Linked DNA regions of Callithrix jacchus. The protein of the gene in region 2 interacts with the protein of the main gene of each other region in a pairwise test. Links are inferred from orthologs where the notes say so. Each region holds a gene or a part of one and is shown on either strand. Other genes may lie near its edges.

Region 1 (10,639 bases), on a different chromosome or scaffold from region 2:
CTGACATTTTCTCATTCATTATGGCTTCAAATATCTCCTCTCCTTAGTCTATTCTTTATCTCTGGAATGTCTTTTTTTTTTCCCCCCTAGTTCAGCTGTGACTTCAGACAGGATTCTAAGAGGAGTTTCACAGTCTCTTTCCTGGGTTTTGTGGAGCCTTAACTTTACCCTTCTGTGTCAGCCTCTTAAAGCACTGGGTCAGCCTTGAAAGGGAACAGGAAAAGGCAGTTCTATTTTAAGATGCCTTCAAGTGTAATACGTACCATCATTTTATGTAGCACAGGAAAGAAAACTGTCAAACTATTATTTACTATTTTTTTTAGAAAGGGGGTTTCCCTTTGACACCCAGGCTGGAGTGCAGGGGCATGATCACTGCTCACTGCCACCTCCAACTTCTAGGCTTGAGGTATCCTCCTGCCATAGCCTCCCAAGTAGCTAGGGCTACAGATGTGCACCACTGCACCTGGCTAAGTTTAAAACTTTTTTTTTGGGCCAGGCGCGGTGGCTCACGCCTATAATCCCAGCACTTTGGGAGGCAGAGGCGGGCGGATCACGAGATCAAGAGACTGAGACCATCCTGGTCAACAAGGTGAAACCCCGTCTCTACTAAAAATACAAAAATTAGCTGGGCGTGGTGGTGCGCGCCTGTAGTCCCAGCTACTCGGGAGGCTGAGGCGGGAGAGTGGCTTGAACCCAGGAGATGGAGGTTGCGGTGAGCCGAGATCGGGCGGCCGTTGCACTCCAGTCTGGGTAATAACAGCGAAACTGCGTCTCAAAAAAAAATTTTTTTTTTTTAGATGGAGTCTTGCTCTGTCACCAGGCCGGAATCCGCCTTTTGGATTCAAGTGACTCTCCGGGCTCAGCCTCCCGAGTAGCTGGGACTACAGGCGCGCACCACCACGCCCAGCTAATTTTTGTATTTTTAGTAGAGACGGGGTTTCACCTTGTTGACCAGGATGGTCTCGGTCTCTTGACCTCGTGATCCACCCGCCTCTGCCTCCCAAAGTGCTGGGATTATAGGCGTGAGCCACCGTGCCTGGCCTTCTAAATTTTTTTGTAGAGAGGAGGTCCCACTATGTCGGTCTGGGCTCCAACTCCTGGGCTCACACGATCTTCCCACTAAGCCTCCCCAAGTGTGCGATTACAGGCATGAGCCACTGCACCCAGCCTCAAACTGTTACACAATGCTTTATCACTTAGAATTTCTAATTTGTTTTAAAAGAACTTTTAGACTTTAAACACATTCTTATTACTCTTGTGCATACAAGAAAAAATGTAAGCTATATTGGTTAAGGCATTTCTACTGTTTTTCCACTCAGTTGCTGATACTGCTGTTTTTCTGTATAATATTGTACCCTGTGTTGTTAAGGGTGTTGATGATGCAGCATTTTTCAATAGTGCTATTCTATTGTCTCTCGAAGAATTTCTTGCAAGCCTCTCCTACCCATTTGTAAGTTTGATGTTGGCACTTTCTTGCTTTATGTGTGATGGACAACCCATTTGCATGCATCTCAATATCAAAACATAATACAGCATCATCTGTTTGTGGGTATTTTCCTTTCTTGGGTCCCTTAAAATCTCACAAAATGTGGAATGTGTTCATTCCTCCAGTGAGGAACATTTGCTTCACTAAAAACAAATGCATATGCTCCACTACTCTGTTTCAGTCCTGTCTGCTTACATAATAACATTTTGGTTTAATGCCAAATCACAGTGTAATAGATTTGACGGCATTTTAAATGTCAATTAAATTCTACCCATGTGGGACTTACAATGTAGATGAATTATTTTTGCTATTTTAGAAGTGATGTGTTCCTAAAAATGTCGAATGATAAAGAGGTGTACGGTTGTGTTAAACTCATGTTAAATTGAAATGAGGACATAAACATGCCTCTGACTGTGGTCAGAGAAGGCCTCTCTGAGAAGATAGCATCTTGTCAGAGAAGACAGCTGTTTGGAGAGTTGGAAGAAAAGCATTCTAGGCTGAGAGAATAGCATGATTATAAAGGTCAGCATAGGCCGGGAGTGGTGGCTCAAGCTTGTAATCCCAGCACTTTGGGAGGCCGAAGCGGGTGGATCACAAGGTCAAGAGATCGAGACAATCCTGGTCAACATGGTGAAACCCCATCTCTACTAAAAATACAAAAAATTAGCTGGGCATGGTGGCGCGTGCCTGTAATCCCAGCTACTCAGGAGGCTGAGGCAGGAGAATTGCCTGAACCCAGGAAGCGGAGGTTGCAGTGAGCCGAGATCGCTCCATTGCACTCCAGCCTGGGTAACAAGAGCAAAAACTCCGTCTCAAAAAAAATAAAATAAAATAAAAAAATAAAGGTCAGCATACTTGGAATATATTCAGACAAGTTAGATGTAGCACTCAGACTAAGTGCTAGAGTGGTGCAAGGTGAGGTTGCATCTGGAGTAAGAGTGGTGCAAGGTGAGGTTTCGGTGAGGTTGCAGAGAGGCTGGGGTGAACTCTTGCAGGACTTTGTAGGCTCTGTAAAAGTGCAAGCGAACGTTGTCAACAGCAGGTCTTTGATATGATCCAATTTACATTTTAAGAGGATACTTTAACATCTAGTAAATGTACTATTGAATCAGTAAAGAATCAATTAAGTAAATTTTGATCAGATATTAAACTATTAGAAAATAATAAAAGCAGCTGGGCACAGTGGCACACACCTGTAATCCCAGCACTTTGGGAGGCCAAGGTGGGCAGATTACTTGAGGTCAGGAGTTCCAGACCAGCCTGATCAACAAAGTGAATCTCTGTCTCTACTGAAAATACAAAAATTAGCTGGGTGTGGTGGCACACACCTGTAATCCCAGCTACTTGGGAGGCTGAGGCACAAATTGCTTGAACCTGGGAGGCAGAGGTTACAGTGAACCAAAATTGCGACACTCCCCTCCAGCCTGGGCAACAGGGCAAGACTATGTTTCAAAAAAAAAAAAAAAATGTTTCTTACAGAATGATGATGATGACTGACAATTTTTTTTTTTTTTTGGAGATGGAGTCTTGCTCTGTCACCAGGCTGGCGTGCAGTGGTGCCATCTCAGATCACTGCAACCTCTGCCTCCCGGGTTCAAGCAATTCTCCTGCCTCAGCCTCTCGAGTAGCTGGAACTACAGGTGTGTGCCACCATGCCTAGCTAATTTTTGAATGTTTTAGTAGAGTCGGGGTTTCACCATGTAGGTCAGGATGGTCTTGATCTTGTGATCTGCCCGCCACAGCCTCCTAAAGTGCTGGGATTACAGGTGTGAGCCACCATGCCCCGCCCGATGATTATTATTTTTGAGAAAGGTTCTCACTTTGTCATCCAGGCTGAGGTACAGTAGCATGAGCTCACCTCACCACAGCTTTGACCTGGGCTCAGGTGATCCTCCCACCTCAGCCTTCCAAGTGGCTGGGACTACAGGTGAACACCACCAAGCCCAGCTAATATTTTGGAGAGATAGGGTTTCACCATATTGCCTAGGCTGGTCTCAAACTCTTGGGCTCAAATGATCCTCCCACCTTTGCCTCCCAAAGTGCTGGGGTTACAGACATGAGCCACCGTGCCTGGCCTCTTACAGAATTATTAATAATTCCCCCAGAAATTGGACATAACCTTAAGGTCTAACAGTGTTTGCATTTGTTAGGTAAATTGTGATAAATCTGTAAGATGGAATATTGTTTAGCCTCTAACGTACGATTTGCAAAGAGCTTAATAAAGAGAAAAATCACGTTATGAAGCAGAATAAACAAAGGTATTCCAATTTTCTCAAATTGTTATATCTGGGTGTATGTGTACAGTAAATGGAATGGAAAAGCAAGAAGATAAATATGAACAGTAATTATCTGGCTGATGGTGCCACAAATAATTTTAAATTTTTCTTGCATTTTCTGTATTTTCTATACTTTTTTCAGTAAAAATGTATTGGTCAGAAAATGAATACTGGGAGAAAATGCTATAAATTATTTTATGTAGTATCTGGCAAATTTCTTCATAAGGTAATATGTATCAGAATTATTCTCAATCCTGGCTGCACTCTAGACTCACCTGGGGAGCTTTAAAAAAGCCTATTCCACTTGGCCCTCCCCCAGAAATTTAGTTACTTTAGGATGGCCCCTCCATCAATAATTTTAGCAGCCGTCAAAGTAAATCATTTTTTGTTTGAGATGGAATGTCACTCTGTCACCTAGGCTGGAGTGCAAGTGGCGTGACCTCCGCACACTGGAACCTCTGCCTCCCAGGTTCAAGCGATTCTCCTGCCTCAGCCATCTGAGTAGCTGAGATTACAGGCTCCCGCCACCATGGCCAGCTAATTTTTGTATTTCTGGTAGCGATGGGGTTTCACTATGTTGGCCAGCCTGGCTCAAAATTATTGAGCCTTTCCATAGTCCAGAAGACAAATTTTAGAAAGTGAGGAAGGGCTCGGTGCAGTGGCTCACGCCTGTAATCCCAACACTTTGGGAGGCCAAGATGGGCGGATCATCTGAAGTCAGCAGTTCAAGACCAGCCTGATATGGTGAAACCCTGTCTCTACTAAAAATACAAAAATTGGCCGGGCGTGGTGGCGAGCGCCTGTAGTCCCGGCTCCTCGGAAGGCTGAGACAGAATTGCTTGAACCCGGGAGGAGGAGGCTGCAGTGAGCTGAGATAGTGGGCGACAGAGCGAGACTCTGTCTCAATAATAAATAAATAAATAAACTGAGGAAGATCTCAACTGCAAAATGCAAATCATACTCACTTCCAAGCCATGTGTGGATTAAATGAGATAAGCCAACTAAAGCGATTACCCAGCTCAGTGCCTAGTATACAGTTAGCGCTCAACAAGTACTAGAGACCGCTTGGCAAAGCAAGGCAGATTGAAGTGTGGGTTCCACTTCTCATCATGTGATAAGCGATAATGCTTTTAATCAGGTCGGCTCACCTGGCCTCTCCATTCGGCCTAAATAACGTCTACTTACTTGCGTGAAGAAAGAGCCCTTGCTGCTGCGGGCTCAGAGCCCAGGTCAGCAAGTATTTGTCAGGCTAGAGCCTCCGGGTGGCGCCTCTCGCCGTCGGTAATCCGTTACCTCCAGAACCAGGGCGCCAGCTTCAGCCATCTGCATTGAAGCAGGAGCTCCCATTGGCTAATCGGACTCTGAAACGCACGCCTATTCCCGCCCCTGACGCTGCCGTCCAATGCGAGCCTCTCAACTCTGCTCCGCCCCGCCCCCGTCTCCCTGTCCCTGGCGTATTTGCGCCGTTGGTCGATCTTTCGGGTCGTGATGGCGGCGCTGCGCGTGCGCACTCGCTCCGAGCCCGCCTCCGGGGAGGAGGAGCTCGCGGGCCGGGGCCAGGGAAGGCAGACCCTGCTCCGCCCGGGTGAAAGGGCCGTGACGGCGCTGGGCGGGGCCGAGCTCCAGGGCTGGCTGCTGGGCTGCTAAGGGAACTGTGAGCTGTTCGGAGCCGCGCGACTCCCGGGCGGGGCGGGGCCGGCCGAGGGAGTCCGCGCGTGCCCGCGCTGAGCTGCCTTTCCTGGCTGCTGCGCTGCTCGCCCGCGGCGACGTCGGGCAGGTTTTTCCAGGATGACCGAGCTGAGGCAGAGGGTGGCCCACGAGCCGGATGCGCCGCCCGAGGACAAGGTAGCGGCAGCCTCGGGGTGGGCGCGGCCGGGACAGCGGCGCATCCAGGAGGCCCGGTGGGGACGCGCGCAGGGGGGTCCTCTAGTCCTCTGATCCCTTGTCGTGGCGGACGGCGGCCCCGGGCAGCGCGATGGGTCCTCGGGTGCCTAGCCTTTGCTGCGCGCATGTCAAGGGTTGGCGGGTCGGAGTCCCGGCTCAGGGTCTGGCTGGAGTGGCTCCCCTGGGGCGCAGGAAGGAGCTCGCCTGGAGTGGCGCACGGCCTCCTGCCTCGCTGGGCTGACTGCGGGACCCCCCTCTCCCCCTACCTCCCTGAGGCCTTCCTGGAGGTGAAGATGTGCAGAGCTTTCTCAGATAGGCGGCTCCTCTGACCGCGACTTAGGCTCTCCGTTCCCTTTTGCAATGTTATTATTTTGGGGGGTGTCGGAATCGGGACAAGGCCATAGCATTTGCCTCCTGGCATATGTAAATCCCTTCTTGGACAGGAAATCATCGGCTTTGAGCAGAGAGGTGTGTTACGCAGTGAGCCACCCCGTCATCAGCAGGTGTTGGAGGGAGTCCTCCCAGTTGATGGGTTGTTTCCTGTGCCGTATGGGTTCTGGTGAGTAGGGGAGGAGAGTAGGAAGGAGGCCATCTTGGCGGGGACAGCGGCTGGGGGGTGACGGGTGTGGGAGTAGATTCCTTTGGGTGAAGTGAAAGGTCTGTGTAGGGGAGTTGAGGAAGGTAGGGAGTAGTTGTATTACTGTGGACATTGAATGGCAGCATAGGACTTTGTAGTTGTAGTTGTGCTTTCCGAGATAGCAGTGGTCAGGAGTCCTGTATTTGGAAAACTGATCTGGCAGTGATGTGTAGAATGGATTGAGGGAGCTTGGACTAGAATGAGGGAGACTGGTTCACTTGGGGATTGCCCATGGGTGACCTGTAGATGTTTTCTTTGGCCCACATGTTGCCTTAAAAATCAGAAAATTTCTCCTAACAATCTAAGTTTCTTGCCTTAGATAATTGGAGGGTCCACCATCATTTTCTCACCTGATTAATGATTGGCTGGAGCTGAGGATCATCTGTTCCCACCAATTCCTGTTGCCTTACACCCAGGCTCATGGCTTCTTCTAATGCAGCCTGTAACTTTTTGATAACTGGAAGAAAGGGACATTAGGGAGACACCAAGAAGGAAGAAAGCACAAGATCTGGTGACAGGATGTCAACAGATCAATTACACTAGGAGGAATGTTTTGGGTGAAAGATAATGGTTGTTTTTTTTAAAATCAACTTTTGTGTTATTGCAATTGACAGTGGACCATCCAAAGAAAACTGTTCATACTGAATTTTAGAAAATGTATTTTGGCCAGGCACAGTGCTGAACAACTGTAATCCTAGCTACTAGGGAGGCTGAGGCAGGAGGATCGCTTGAGCCCAGGAGTTTGAGATCCTGTCTCAAAAAACAAAAACAAAAAAAACATATTTTGGAGACAATTTAGGGCTAGGGCTAAGGATTTAGCAGTTGCTTGCAGAGACAAGAGACTTTGAAGTCTCTAATTTTTCAGTGGGCTCTTCTGGTTCAGCCTGAAAGAATTGTGACTTACCTTGTTACTGCTAGTTGGTGAGTATGCAGATGTTTGGAGGCTCTGTTTAAGGTGAGATCATACTTGATGTCACTGGGACATTGTGGACCTAGAAGGTATGAGAAGAGGGAGAAGAAAGAAGGCATGAAAGCTGGTAGGCCATGTTTTTGAAAAGCTGACTATGTACAATAGTTAGAATGTCAAAAAAAACAACGATGGGGTTGTGAGATGGAACATAAAGATTCTGCCCTTTCTGGACTCCTTGGATCCATCCCCAGAGATAAAGTGCCTGTTGGTCTTACTTTCACATCCCCTACTTTCAGTAGGGAGGACATGAGGAGCTGTCCAGCTGAAGGTGCACTTACATCACTTATGCAGTGACATAATGCCTGGGGTCATGAGGTCCCTAAAAGACAGCTGCTATGCACACTGATACTCATTACCCAGAACAAGGCAATCAGTCCCTCACCACATCCTCCAGAACTTCTGAATTGTCATGCATGGGATTTTTAATAAGGGCACGTTTTAAAAGGTGTGAAATCTATTACTTGTCTTTGAATGTATATAGTAAACTTTTTTCTTTTCTTTTCTGTTTTTTGAGGCAGAGTTTTGCTCTTGTGGCCCAGACTGGAGCACAATGGTGCAATCTCAGCTTACTACAACCTCCGCCTCAGCCTCCTCAGTACCTGGGATTACAGCACCTGCCACCACGCCCTGCTAATTTTTTTTTATTTATAGTAGAGATGGTGTTTCACCATGTTGTACAGGTTGATCTTGAACTCCTGACCTCAGGTAATCCACCCACCTTGGCTCCCAAAGTGCTGAGATTACAGGTGTGAGCCACTGCAGCTGGCCCATAGTAAACTGTTTTTTTTTTTTGAGACAGAGTTTCGCTCTTGTTACCCAGGCTAGAGTGCAATGGTGCTATCTCGGCTCACTGCAACCTCTGCCTCCTGGGTTCAGGCAATTCTCCTGCCTCAGCCTCCTGAGTAGCTGGGATTACAGGCACACACCACCATGCCCAGCTAATTTTTTGTATTTTTAGTAGAGATGGGGTTTCACAATGTTGACCAAGATGGTCTTGATCTCTTGACCTCGTGATCCACCTGCCTCGGCCTCCCAAAGTGCTGGGATTATAGGTGTGAGCCACCGCGCCAGGCCCATAGTAAACTTTTTCAAAAATCCTGATTTATTCTGTTTCATAGTTTGGGAAAAGCCTACTTCCATGACTTTGGCTTTGCCAATATTCTTGTGTTAGAACCCAGGGAAATTAGAAATAATAAAACAGGTTGTCTTTTTAAGGAAATGAGAACTTTTTTTATTTCATAGTAGAAGAATCCAGTAAACAATTTTCAAGTCAGTGCTTTAAAAGCTCTGGAATAAATTTGAAAGATTCTTCAAAATGTTACAGTTGCTTAACTGCCAGTGGCAAAACTTTCTTGTAAATAGATAATCATTAGTATCAAAATAATCTGGAGAATGTTTATTTATAAAAGTCATAGGCTGGGTGTGGTGGTTCACACCTGTAATCCCAGCATTTTGAGAGGCCAAGGTGGGTGGTTCACAAGGTCAGTAGATGGAGACCATCCTAGCTAACACAGAGAAACCCCGTCTCTACTAAAAATACAAAAAATTAGCCAGGCATGGAGGCGCATGCCTGTAGTCCCAGCTACTTGGGAGGCTGAGGCAGGAGAATTGCTTGAACCCGGGAGACGGAGGTTGTACTGAGCCAGGATCACGCCACTGCACTCTAGTCTGGGCAACAGAGTGAGACTTCATCTCAAAAAAAAAAAAAAAAAAAAAAAATCAGAAGGTATTTTGTTATATTTAGCATCTGAGAATGGAATTTTCAAAGCCAATTGCTAATAAAGGAAATGTTCTCCTCTGGGAACTCTGCTTATAATTTTAAAGTCCCAAGGCACAGTATAGTTGCCAATCTAAGAAAGTTGGAGTTTAGGCTTTGGGAATGATCCTTGTCCTGCCCAAATGTATTTTTACGATGGAGCTTAGGAAAGGGAAGGATGAGATGTGGCTGAAAGATTGGCATCTTAAAATTTATAACTGAGTTATCATTTCAGGAGATTTTGTTTTGTAAGTTAGAGTAAAGGTTCTGGGGTTTTCTGCTTCACTTATTTCCCGAGGTGCTATTTTTTTATTTTTATATCTATTTTTATTTTTAAAAAAAAAGAATCCATCTCCCTACTCCAAAAATCCATTAACATATTGTCCTGCTTATCAGTTTAATATCTGATACGTCCTCTATCCGAGGACAATATTTTGTTTTCCCACAGCCTTCTTCTTTAAAAAGAAAGAACATTTTGGCTCAGAGCGCGTGTAGTATCTGATCTTAGCCAAAAGGCTGAGAAGCGATCCGAGGTGCTTTTTAAATTAGAGCTTTACTTATTTCAAGGCTTCCTTTCTAGATAGGTGAAACCCATATAGAGAGGAAAGAGTGACGTCATTTAGAAAGGGGAGTTTAAATTTTAACTGAAGATAGTGTTTAAAAGCAGGGGCTTGAGTCAGTTACATCTGCCTTGAGCCTGGGCTCTGCCACATAGAGGCTGTGTGACTTTGAGCAGATCACCGAAGCTGTGGCAGCCTCAGTTTGTCCATCATTAATATGGGGGTGATAAAATTGTGTGTGCTTCACAGGCTATTCATGTGAATTAAATGTATGTATGGGCAGCAGAGCTTGTCACATTGTAATGTTAGCTATTGTTGCTACTGGTTAAAATAGATTTTTATAGGAAAAAACTTTAATATTCATCTTACACTCTTAGAAGGTGATTAAATCTTCAAGTTATATGTATTTGTAGAGTCTATTCATATTAATTATCTTCTAAGGAAAGTTTTATAAAAAGGACTTAGCCTTCTATGACCTATCTTTTCAGTTTATTTTCTTGCTGAATTTTTCAGTACTCCAAATCACAATCAAACTTTAGCTGTAGGACCACTGAACATTGCTGTATGTAATTGTCTTCTTTTATAACTAAAAATGGTTTTCAATAGACTTTGAGATTGAACTACTGAAATAAAATATTAAAGAACTATAACTACTTCAGGTGTAGGAGAAATGCTTAATTTTTTTCAAGAGAATGTTTTTATTTTGAGAAATAATTTGGGAGTTGAAATATCAGTAAACCTTAACTATGATTCCCAGGCTTAACAGGGAGAGGAGGTGAAAGATTATTTTGTCATATAACTCAGTATCTTATATGTCTTATATTTTTGTTGTTCAGTGTGATTTTATTTTAAAAACTCAATTACTTCATGGTTTTTGACTATTTCAAGTTAGTTTTTCTAAAATCTATTTTTAAAAAACGTTTTGTGTTTGCACAAATTAATATGGTATTTCATTAGAAGAATTTTTATCATCTTTTCAAGGTGTTAAATTGCTCTCCTTGGTTGTTAGGACTAGAAGGGCCTTTAGGGGTGTTTTTTATTTTTAGGGACAGGGTCTCACCTTGTTGCCC
Region 2 (10,768 bases):
TAATCTTTTCGGAGAATGAAAAAGATGGTCAGGAACCTATAATACTTTTCCCAGAGTTACTTTCTCAGCAAGGCTCTCAGAAGAAGGTAACAATTGGCACCCTGGGTTTGTTAGGAGCCAAGCTTCCACTTGGGCTGGATGGAGACTCACAGAGAAGCACAATAGCATGAGGGCCCCAGCTTGTCTCACTTCCCTCAAGATGCATGCATTCTTTTTTCTTTTCCTCAGTCTGTTTAGAAGATGTTTCTTCTTTTCTTCCCTGTGTGCCCTAGGCCAGATTAGGAAACTATTTTCTTTGAAGCTTTCTGTACAAAGCCTTATCTGCGAAGTTTTTCCAAAATAAGATAAAAAAGACTGTTCAACGTAGGGCTAACTATACCTGGCCCTCACCAGCCCATAACTCTCAACGATTACCTGTTCTCTCCTCTTGGAATTTAGAGCTTAGCTGCCTCTGGGGTGGCAGGACTGGGTACCCTCTCTACTGGGAAAACAGGATCGAGGAGAGAAAGTGAAGGAGTAGTGGCCTTAACTTACCTCAGGCTCTCAATCAGAGTTCCACAAAGCATAGTGTATTTTCTTTCCGAGACAAGCCCTGGGGGCTACCACACCTGGGTTTGCTAGCTGGCTGTTAGATGAAGCTTGGGCAAGTCAGTTAATCTCTTGAAGCTTCACTTTTTTCTACTTTAAAGTGGGGATGATAAAAATGAGACTGTTGTAAAAATTAAATAAATTAAACCTCAAAGAAATTAGTGTGCTACTAGCATAGAGCATGTACTCCATCAGTGTTCTCCTTCCAACTTGTTTTCTTGGTTCTTAATTTTAAGACAGAAGACTCTTTTTCAAATGGCTCTAGAGAGTCAGGATCAGACTTCCAAAGTGGAACCTGACCAGAGCCCCTCCATTAAATGCAAATTTCACTTGGTCTGGGAGATCAGACAGGTATAGAGTTATATCTAATGTTAAGAATATACCTTCCTCACTAGCTTTGGAGAAAGGGCTACAAAGATGAAAAGAGAAGACCCCCAAAAATGAACTCATGGTAATTAAGTAAGGCACACAGAGCCCACCCCATCATGAAAGAAAAAAACCCTGCAGATACATAGGAGGACAAAAAACAAAAACAAAAGAAAAAGATATTTCCATATCTTTCCTCTAATCCCAAGGAAACCTAAAGATACTTGATTCAAAAAGCTGTGGCCAAAATTTCAAAGTGAAAGTCAGCCCTTTAGCTATTGTTTATTGCTTTATTAGAGCAGAGGGAAGTGATACTCATTGCCTTTATAGAGCTCTGTGGAAATATATGCACAGAGTGGTCAATGACCAACATTTGAGCAAGTCTTCCAAATTATCACATTAAATAACCTTTTGAATTTGAGTGCCTTTCCTTTGCAAATGACTGCAACCTCCTAATGAAGAATTTTATATATTATCAAAAAGAACCAGAAGCCAATGAGGTCTTTTCCCCAAAATCCACTTACTAAGGACTTGGCTGGAAATCCACTCTAAGCAGATCATCATTACTATTTCCCTTTCAAAACAGTCGGAAATCCTAAGATACGAATACTAAAAAGACAGCAATATCCTTCTTAAGCTGGTGAGAATCTAGCCCCACAGAGACAATTTGGCAATTCTGTTTCTGGAAGCCAGGACTCAAGAGATTTGTCTTAGTGATGGACGGATACTCCTCTAATCTTAAGGCACGAGGGCTGTCAAAACAAGGGCTCTGAATAGTGCCTTTCTGCTCATCAATGTCATCACAATGAAGAAGAGAACAGGTTTTCATTTTCCTGAAGAGTGTTCAGTAGGAGCGCAGTGGTTTGGCATAGATGGGCTCCAGAATATGATGGATTAAAACCAAGAAGAGGCCTCCAAGGAAGATGGCGCTAAGGAAAGCCAGCAGGACATAGCGGCCAATGAAAAAGTCATCCACAATCTGGAGAAAGAAAACATCAAAATGAAATTACTACCACTTACGCACTCTGGCTGGGTTAACCTGAACTCTGTGGTGAATGGGCCAAGAGTTTGTTCATGTTTGTAACTCCCAATAACATCCTGCCCTGAGTCTCCTCTTCACATGGATAAAAAAGAATCTTTTCCTCAACTCCCTGAGCAGGAGACACAGGTCAAGTAGGGATTAATGAGGTACAGGGAACAAATGACTCAATTTAGGAGGTTGGTAAACACTTTGAAGTCCCTGGATGAATTATATTCTGAAATCCACTGTCTGAAAGAGTTAATGAGAAGCTTTTGCTTGGTCCTAGAAAAGCTCATTTTTGTTGTTGTTAAAACACATTTTATTACAGAGAATTTTAAACATACATAAAAATACAATCGTATAATAACCCCCCATGTCGAGGACCCAACTCCCAAAATCATCAATCCATTGCCATTTCAGGAGGGTTCATTTTCGAAATTAAAGAGAACTCTTTAAAGCGATCAGCAGAAGAGTCCCTTGCCAAGGGGAAGGAAAATGGCCACTTGCCTGAGATACTAAAACACTAAGAGGATAGGTAACTTGCCCCAAATCAGACAGTGGGCCGCTTGGCCTTACACTTGAGGCCCCAAAGATGTTGGTCTTTGCTGACAAAAACCTATAACTGGTGTTGGCTCTACCCACTTGTCCGCTGTCCCCTGCCAGAGCTCTACTCTCCCTAGATCCAAATGGTGGTGCTTATATTTGGATAGGAAAAGCAATTTAATCTACAGACCTATTAGAGCAATAACACAAACCAGGTGGCTGACTGACTTCACAGAAGCTTTGAAATCCCAGTACCTAGGAGAGAATCCAAAACACCTGAAAGGCAACTGTGGCAGGCAGAATAATGGCTCAAAGATAGCCACATCCTAATCTCCAGAAATTGCGAACATGTTAGATTATATGTTAAAGGAGAATTAAGATTGCCAACAGCTGTCCTTAAAATAGGATTAGCCTAGATTATCCAATCCAGGTGGACCCAGTGTAATCACAAGGATCCTTCCAAGTTGAATACAGAGGTGGAAGACAGGGTCAGAGCAAGAGAGGTGAGAACTGAAGTGGTCAGTGAGGGATGATGTTGCTGGCTCTGAAGATGGAGAAAGGGGACTGTGAGCCAAGGAATATGAGCAGCCTCTAGAAGCTAGAAAGGATAAGGAAATGGACTCTCCCCTAGAACCTCCAGAAAGAATGCAGCTCCGCCAACCCCTTGCTTTTGGCCCAATGAGGCTGATTTTGGACTCTAACCTACAGAACTGTAAGATATAAATCTGTGTTGTGAGCCATAAGTTTGCAGTAATTTGTTACAGCAGCAATGGAAAACTAATACAGCAGCCATATGCAAAACACCTATTAGACCCGAGCCCTGGTAGGATCACTGAGATCCAAAGACACCTCAGCTGCTCCAGAGATTACCCCAATAGTCAACTTACAACAAAGGTCAGTTTGATAAAACAGCTTTAACATAACTTTGACCTTGGCTCCAGTACTGAACAAGTCTCTTGTGGGCCACATGTTTGCTCGTACGACAGGTTTCACTTTTTAATTAGCCAATTAGCAGGCCTTGGGTGCAGAAGGCCCAGGCCATGTATTATTGATATAGCACTGAGCCAGGCTGCTGCAGAGGCCGGCTCTCAAACCCTGAAAATGAGAACTCCAATTCTGCTGGCCATGCTGACAAACGTATTTTGCTCAAACCCCATTCTTCTCTCCTGGGTCTGAAACTTGCATGGCAGAGAATCGAGGGATTGGATTTAAAAATGTGTTTGCTCTCTGCCCTTCTCCCAGTGTTTATGTCGGCGGCATCCAGAAATGTGGCAGCCTACTTCACTCTCCCCCTTCAAAGACAAGGAAAATGAGGTGGGAATTTACCCCTGGCTCACATACGTGGCACTCACACCTCCAGAGTGTTTTCCAAATGCTGACAACAAACTGGCGTCCTTGGAAACAGTTTCTTAAGTCTGTTAAGTACTATTTCCCTTGGAATTTTCAGAATGAATTCCCTTCCTCTTTCCATGGTTAATCCTAGAGTGTCAATTTTAGTTCAAAAGTTACATGTATAACCTTGTGTACTGTTGTTGGCTAGTGTCAAAATGCTAATGAGCTCTCTGGGACAGCCCCAGATATTCTATTAGGTTCTGAACAATGAAGATTTTGAAGACGGACCTCAGCTTGAATCCTTGCTCTGCCTTTTGCTATGTGACCTTGACCAAGTTACCTTAACCTCTTACAGGCTCAGTATTCTTATTGTAAAATGAGGATAATAATGGCACCTACGTCCTACTACTTAGGGCTGTCCTGAGGTTTAAATGAGACAGTGCAAACAAGGTGTTTGGCACAGGACCTGACACATAGAAATCCCTTAAAGAATGTTAGCTATTTTCATGATCATTACTTAAAATATTGAAATGAAGGTTGAGAGGAAAGCTGTGAGGAGTAATGGGACAGAAGAGGTCAAAGCCATTGCGAAGATCCCATGGGTCTGGGACCAGCCATACATGGTAAAGCTGGAGCCCCAAATCAGGAATGAACCACAACTCCAGAGAAGGACTAGGAGAGAGATAATCAAAATTCATTTAAAGAATTTTTAAATTCTGGGTGCTGGCAGGTATGGTCCCAGGCATGAGGACGAAAGAACTCCCAGAAAACTGTTAGGAAAATTCTAGCACATGTCCTTTGCACCCTCAGGGCACTGCATCAACTTCAGCCCAGGATCTGAGGTGAGGAGCCCAGGCTGCCAGGAATGGGAACACTTCCATCTCAAGTGCAGGCCTGTGACTATCCCTACTTCATTTTCTCTTTCTCGGTCCCCATGGTATGAGGTGGCTTTCCAACAGGCTGTTTTCAACCTGATGCAAACTAGAGTTGAGACCAAATCAGGCAAATAACTGCCTGGTGGGGTTGCAGGAGGAATTCAGAGTTAGATTCTTTTCCTTAGTGAAGGGGCAGAGAAACTTTAAACTCCCTCTGAACTTTCCCCATCATTGGTTGAACTTTACAATTCTGACATCTCAGGCAGCCCAATGTCAGGGAGCATCGAGGGCAGAGTAGACGTGCAGACCAAGAGAAGTAAGAGTTACAGCTCAGGAGGCAAAACGAAACCAACAGCTTTACCTTAACTTCCACCTCTGGGGCTGGGAATTCATCAGCTCGTGGGAAAAGCAACAGAACTGATGTGAGGATCACAGCACCAAAGAATAAAAAAATGACAGAGAACCTGGGGTCAAAAAGACAAATTATTAAAAGCACTGTTTACAGTTTCTTCTCTGATCAGTTAGGTCTGGACAGTCTCTTTCTTGGGGCCAATATTCTATATTTCAGTGCCTTAACAATGCCCAGAGATCTGCTGTCCACAACCTCTTCATCTCAAAGTCCTTCTTCCTAGACAGGTACCAGCTGGGTGCATTCCTGCTTATTCTTAGTAATTCCCATTTCCTAAGAATGAAAATTTGTAGTTTTGATTTTTACTTCTGCCCAAATGCATAATCAAGAAAAACCAAAGCATCCCCTCTCCCTTTCCACTTCTGTTATTTTTAGAACAGAATACTTAGAAAATTCTACAACTCTCTGCTTCATGCTAACACTACCTTGCCAGAGGCAACTCTACAGTGTTTTCAGAGTTGGTTTATGGCCTAACCCTGTTCTGAAGGCAACACCTGATAAAGGAAGCAGGCCCAACTCATCAAATGCTGCTTTAGCTTTCCTGGGTCCAGGGCTAGAGCCTTGGGGACTAGACCAAGCATCTGCCATAAATCTGAACAATTCAGAAACATACATGTGTACAACCTTGAGAAATTCAATAAGCAGTGAAAGCAGAATTTCTTGTCATCTCTTGTGTCCCCCATCTCCTCCACAGTTAGAACTCAAGAACACCACTTCCTTCTCCTCCCATCTCTGCTTCAGAGCATAAATAACACGGTTTGTGCTTATAAAAAGAGGTTAAAATGCAACTCATTCAAACTGCCAGTAATTACAAACTGATCTCTTAAATTCTAAATGTTTAATGAGCATCAGCAATTTTGCCTCTAATTGCTTTACCTAGGACTCCCAGCTGGAAAGAATGCCTTACCTCGCTGCCCCGGAGGCTCTGGACAGCAGCACACACAGCAGCAGCACTGACACCCAGAGCAGGGCCAAGATGAAGACACCCACACCGACTCCAAGCACAGTGCCAGTCATCCTGCAGGGAGGCAGCGGGGGCTCCGTACCCTGCACGCCGCACGATCAAGTGTCCTCAGTGCTCCAGTGCGGTCTTCCTGCTGCACACTCCCATGAAGGCATTCAGAGAAAGCCTAAACTCATTACAGGGAATTTTTTGATGATCACTGTGTTAGGAGGATTACTCAGTACAGGTCATTAATTTTCAAAAATGTCCAGTCCCAGAATCCCTTAATGGAAACTAGAAATGTAGAACCCAAAGCCTTTGTCTTTGGCGGGGACTGAGAGGGTGATTTCTGCTGTGCACTCAGAAGTTTTTTCTGAGTGTTTCCCTTCAAATTTGGTACATGAGCTCTACTTTGACTTCTTCCCCCCGCCCATGGGAGAAAGCTGAACCCTCTCTTGATACAAAACTTTAACTAAGAACTGCTAGAAGACACCAGGGAATGGGAGCTTCAGGGCCAAAACAGAAATTGAAGCTCTCCAGTTAAATCCATGGTGTGAGCTTTGACTCACCAAGCAATCAATCACAGATAATTCCCACTCTATTGTTGAGTTCTTATTCAAGAAGAAGAAAACCCTTAGTCCTTAGAGAAGAGGAACAGCCATCACTATTTTTGAACACTTACTATGTGCTAAGTACCATACAAACATACCTCATTTAATTCTGGTGCTAAGCTTCTGAGAGAGGTATTACTATATCCATGTTACAGAATGGGTAAGTGAGATATAAGCGCAATGGGGTATGTATTAGTTTCCTAATTAGCAGCTCAAAACATATTCACTCACAGTTCTAGAAGCCAGAAATCCAAAATAAAGGTGTCAGGAGGGTTGTACTCCCTCCAAAGGCTCTAGGGCAAGGGTTCCCAACCCCTGAGCCATGAACCAGTCATGGTCCGTGGCCTGTTAGGAACCAGGTCTCACAGCAGGAGGTGAGCAGCAGGCAAGCCAGCATTACTGCCTGAGCTCCGCCTCCTGTCATATCAGTGGTGGCATTAGATTCTCATAGGAGCATGAACCCTATTGTGAACCGCACATGCGAAGGATCTAGGTTGCATGTTCCTTATAAGAATCTAATGCCTGAAGATCTGAGGTGAACAGTTTCATCCTGAAACCATCCCCCTGCATTTCCCTGTATGAAACTGCTTCCATGAAACCAGTCCCTGGTGCCAAAAAGGTTGGGGACGGCTGCTCTAGAGGAGAATCCTTCTCTGCCTCTTCCAGCTTCTGGTGGTTCCAGGCACTGCTCATTGGCTTTTAACTACAACTCCAGTCTCTGCCTCCATCTTCCCATGGCATTCCCCTGTGTCTGTCTTTGCCTTTTCTGTCTCTTATAAGAGTACTTGTCATTGGATTTAGGGTCTGTACAAATAATCTAGTATTATCTTAAATAAATCTGCAAAGACCCTTTTGTCAAATACGGTCACAGTCACAGATTCTAGGGGTGAGGATATGGACATATATTTTTTGGGACCACCATTCAACTCACAGCAGAATAACAGCACATTACACTACCTCCCTGGTTTTCCTTTTCAGCATTGGAGACAAGTCTTAAGCAAACACATTCCTCTGGGTTGCTGGTTTTCTTTACCCTCATGGTTTAAATACCATGAAAATATTATCTATGAGAGGTTATAAAGTTATTGAAAAGGAGGGTCTAAGCATGAACTGCTTAAAAAAATACATTTATTGAGACCGATCCAAGATGGCTGATCACTAACAACTCGGGATTGTAGCTCCCAGTGAAAGCTCAGAGAACGAGACGACACCACACTTTTAGACGAATTTTCGTCACTCACGGATCAGCTGATTCCCAGTGGAGGAGCCCCACGGGTCGCCAGCGCGACTCTTGTGGCCGCAGCAGCGGTTTTGCCGGCTTCTCGGCGCAGCAGCTCTTCATGCAGAGTAAACGGGACTGCTTCCCCTACTGACCGGAGTTAGGAGCTCCAGGAAATCAGAGCTGCTTGTTGCAGACTCAAGAGGGAAGCCAGACCAGAGATTCCCGGGCAGAAGAGCACCATCAGTCTTATCGCTGCTATTTAGGCTGCCACAGTGGGTTGCTCGGATCCCAGCACTGGGAATCAATAAGTCGGACTTCGACTCAGAAACCTAATTAGAAAGGCGGTTCATCTACAATGAAGGGAAAAAAACAGCCTAAGAAGGCCGAGTATACTCGAAATCAGAACCCATCAGCAACGGAACAAGCCCTGATGGAAAAGGACTCATCAGCAACCGAACAAGCCCTGGTGGAAAAGGACTCATCAGCAACAAAACAAGTCCTGATGGAAAAGGACTGTGTTCCATTATCTGAAGTAGGCTTTAAAAGGTGGATGATAAGAAACTTCTGGGAGTTAAAGGAACTTGTTCTAACCCAATGTAAAGAAACTAAGAACTTTGAAAAAAGGTTCGATGAAATGATGAAAAGAATAGACAATATAGAGAGGAATACAAATGAACTTACGGAGTTGAAAAATACAACACGAGAACTTAGCGAAATATGTACAAGCTTAAATAGCCTAATGGATCAAGCAGAAGAAAGGATATAAGAGGTTGAAGACCAACTTAATGAAATAAAACGATAAGACAAGAATAGAGAAAAAAAGATACAAAGGAATGAGCAAAGTCTCCAAGAAATATGGGACTATGTGAAAAGACCTAATATACGTTTGATCGGTGTACCTGAATGTGACGGAGAGAATGAATTCAAGCTGGAAAATACTTTTCAGGACATTATCCAGGAAAATTTTCCCAACTTAGCAAAGCAGGACACTATTCAACCCCAGGCAATACAGAGAATACTACAAAGATATTCCTCAAGAAGACCAACCCCAAGGCACATAATTGTTAGATTCACCAGGATCTAAACGAAGGAGAAAATATTAAGGGCAGCCAGAGGGAAAGATCAGGTTACCCATAAAGGGAAGCCTATTAGGCTTACAGCAGATCTCTCAGCGGAAACCCTACAAGCTAGAAGAGAGTGGGGGCCAATATTCAATATACTTAAAGAACAGAACTTTCAGCCCAGAATTTCATATCCTGCCAATTTAAGCTTTACAATTGAAGGAAAAATAAAATCTTTCAGGAACAAGCAAGTACTTAGAGATTTTACTATCACGAGGCCTGCTTTACAAGAACTTCTAAAAGAAGTATTATACATAGAAAGGAACAACCAGTATGAGCCTTTCTAAAAATATACCAAAAAGTAAAAAGCATTAACATAAAGAAGAATTTACATCAACAAAAGGATAAAATAGCCAGTTAATATCAAATGGCAGTAACCCTAAATTTAAATCGACTAAATCCCCCAATCAAAAGATACAGACAAAATCTAACGGTATATCTAAAGATATACAAAGACTCAAAATAAAGGGTTGGAAAAAAACTTACCAACCAAATGGAGAGCAAAAACAAATAAATAAAAAGCAGGAGTTGCAATTCTCACAATTAATAAAATAGATTTCAAAGCTACAAGGATACAAGGGTAAAAGGATTAATGTAATAATAAGAGATCTTAACACCCAGATACATAAGACCCATAATGAGATTTAGATTCAACGAGACAGAAAATTGATAATGATATCCAGGACTTGAACTCAGAACCAGAACAAATAAATTCAATAGAGCTCTCCATTTTAAACACACAAAATATACATTATCCACTTTAAACACACAAAATATTGATCAGCCATTATTGATACCCATTTTAGGAATGAAGTAATATTTCTTTTTCCCTCTTTTTCTCTTTTTCCCTCTTTTTTTCCTCTTTTTCCCTCTTTTTTCCCTCTTTTTCTTTCTCTTTCTCCCTAAAAAAAAAAAAAAAATACATTTATTGAATCAACATTTATGATGTGCCTGCCATATACAGCACTGTGCTATAAGCTGGGGACGCCAAAGGTGAATAAGATATCTTCTGACAGAAGCTCACGGTCTATCGGAGAACATTGTCCTGAAAACAACTGTCCACATTATATTCTGACTAATGGTAAAAGTGAGGTGCAGTGGGAATTACAATAGTGAGAAGGGCTTTATGAAAGAAGTACTCCGCACATGCACGTTTAGGAAAGAATCAGCATGAAAAGATGACAGAGTGAGGGGAGATGGGATGCTCACCAGCATGCCTAACTTCTCTGGGAAACAGTCTCCCCTTATTAGGGCCACGTGGGCGTCATCTGGTCACTCTAACATGCCCAGGGTTTCCCCGTCTCTGAGTCTTTATACTTGCTGTTTCCACTGCCTAGAACGAACCCTCTACCCCAACCACGCCTGCTACTATTTGAAGGAGTGGCTTTCCTCAGCCTTCTGATTTCTGCTTAAATGTCACTCCTCAGTGAGGTCTTCCCTGAGTATCTTCTCTAAAGTAACCCCTTGAACATTGACTCTCTATCACTCTATTTCCTTCAGAGTGTCACAAAACTGTAGGCTTCAGAGGGTGGATGATAAGAAACATCTTGGAGTTAAAAGAACTTGTTCTAACCCAATGTAAAGAAACTAAGAATTTTGAAAAAAGGTTTGACGAAATGCTAACAAGAATAGACAATATAGAGAGGAATATAAATAAACTAACGGAGTTGAAAAACACAACACAAAAACTTAGCGAAATATGCACAAGTTTGAATAGCTGAATTGATCAAGCAGAAG

What was found. The genes of interacting proteins can lie anywhere in the genome.
Region 1: the proteins of TMEM218 (region 2) and PCNA interact in binary tests that used the Homo sapiens proteins (3 or more experiments, as listed by UniProt). The link is inferred for Callithrix jacchus from reciprocal best matches to the Homo sapiens genes TMEM218 and PCNA.

The regions. Positions count from the first base shown.
Region 1 is NC_133506.1:12,556,288-12,566,926, forward strand, and holds the start of PCNA (proliferating cell nuclear antigen), read right to left. Parts: upstream 5,090-10,639; 5' UTR 4,948-5,089; intron 2,495-4,947; exon of another isoform or gene 2,342-2,494; intron 217-2,341; exon of another isoform or gene 94-216; intron 1-93. UniProt on the Homo sapiens protein: Auxiliary protein of DNA polymerase delta and epsilon, is involved in the control of eukaryotic DNA replication by increasing the polymerase's processibility during elongation of the leading strand.
Region 2 is NC_133511.1:24,700,564-24,711,331, forward strand, and holds the start of TMEM218 (transmembrane protein 218), read right to left. Parts: upstream 6,230-10,768; 5' UTR 6,152-6,229; coding exon 6,042-6,151; intron 5,408-6,041; coding exon 5,330-5,407; intron 5,190-5,329; coding exon 5,087-5,189; intron 1,934-5,086; coding exon 1,799-1,933; 3' UTR 1-1,798. UniProt on the Homo sapiens protein: May be involved in ciliary biogenesis or function.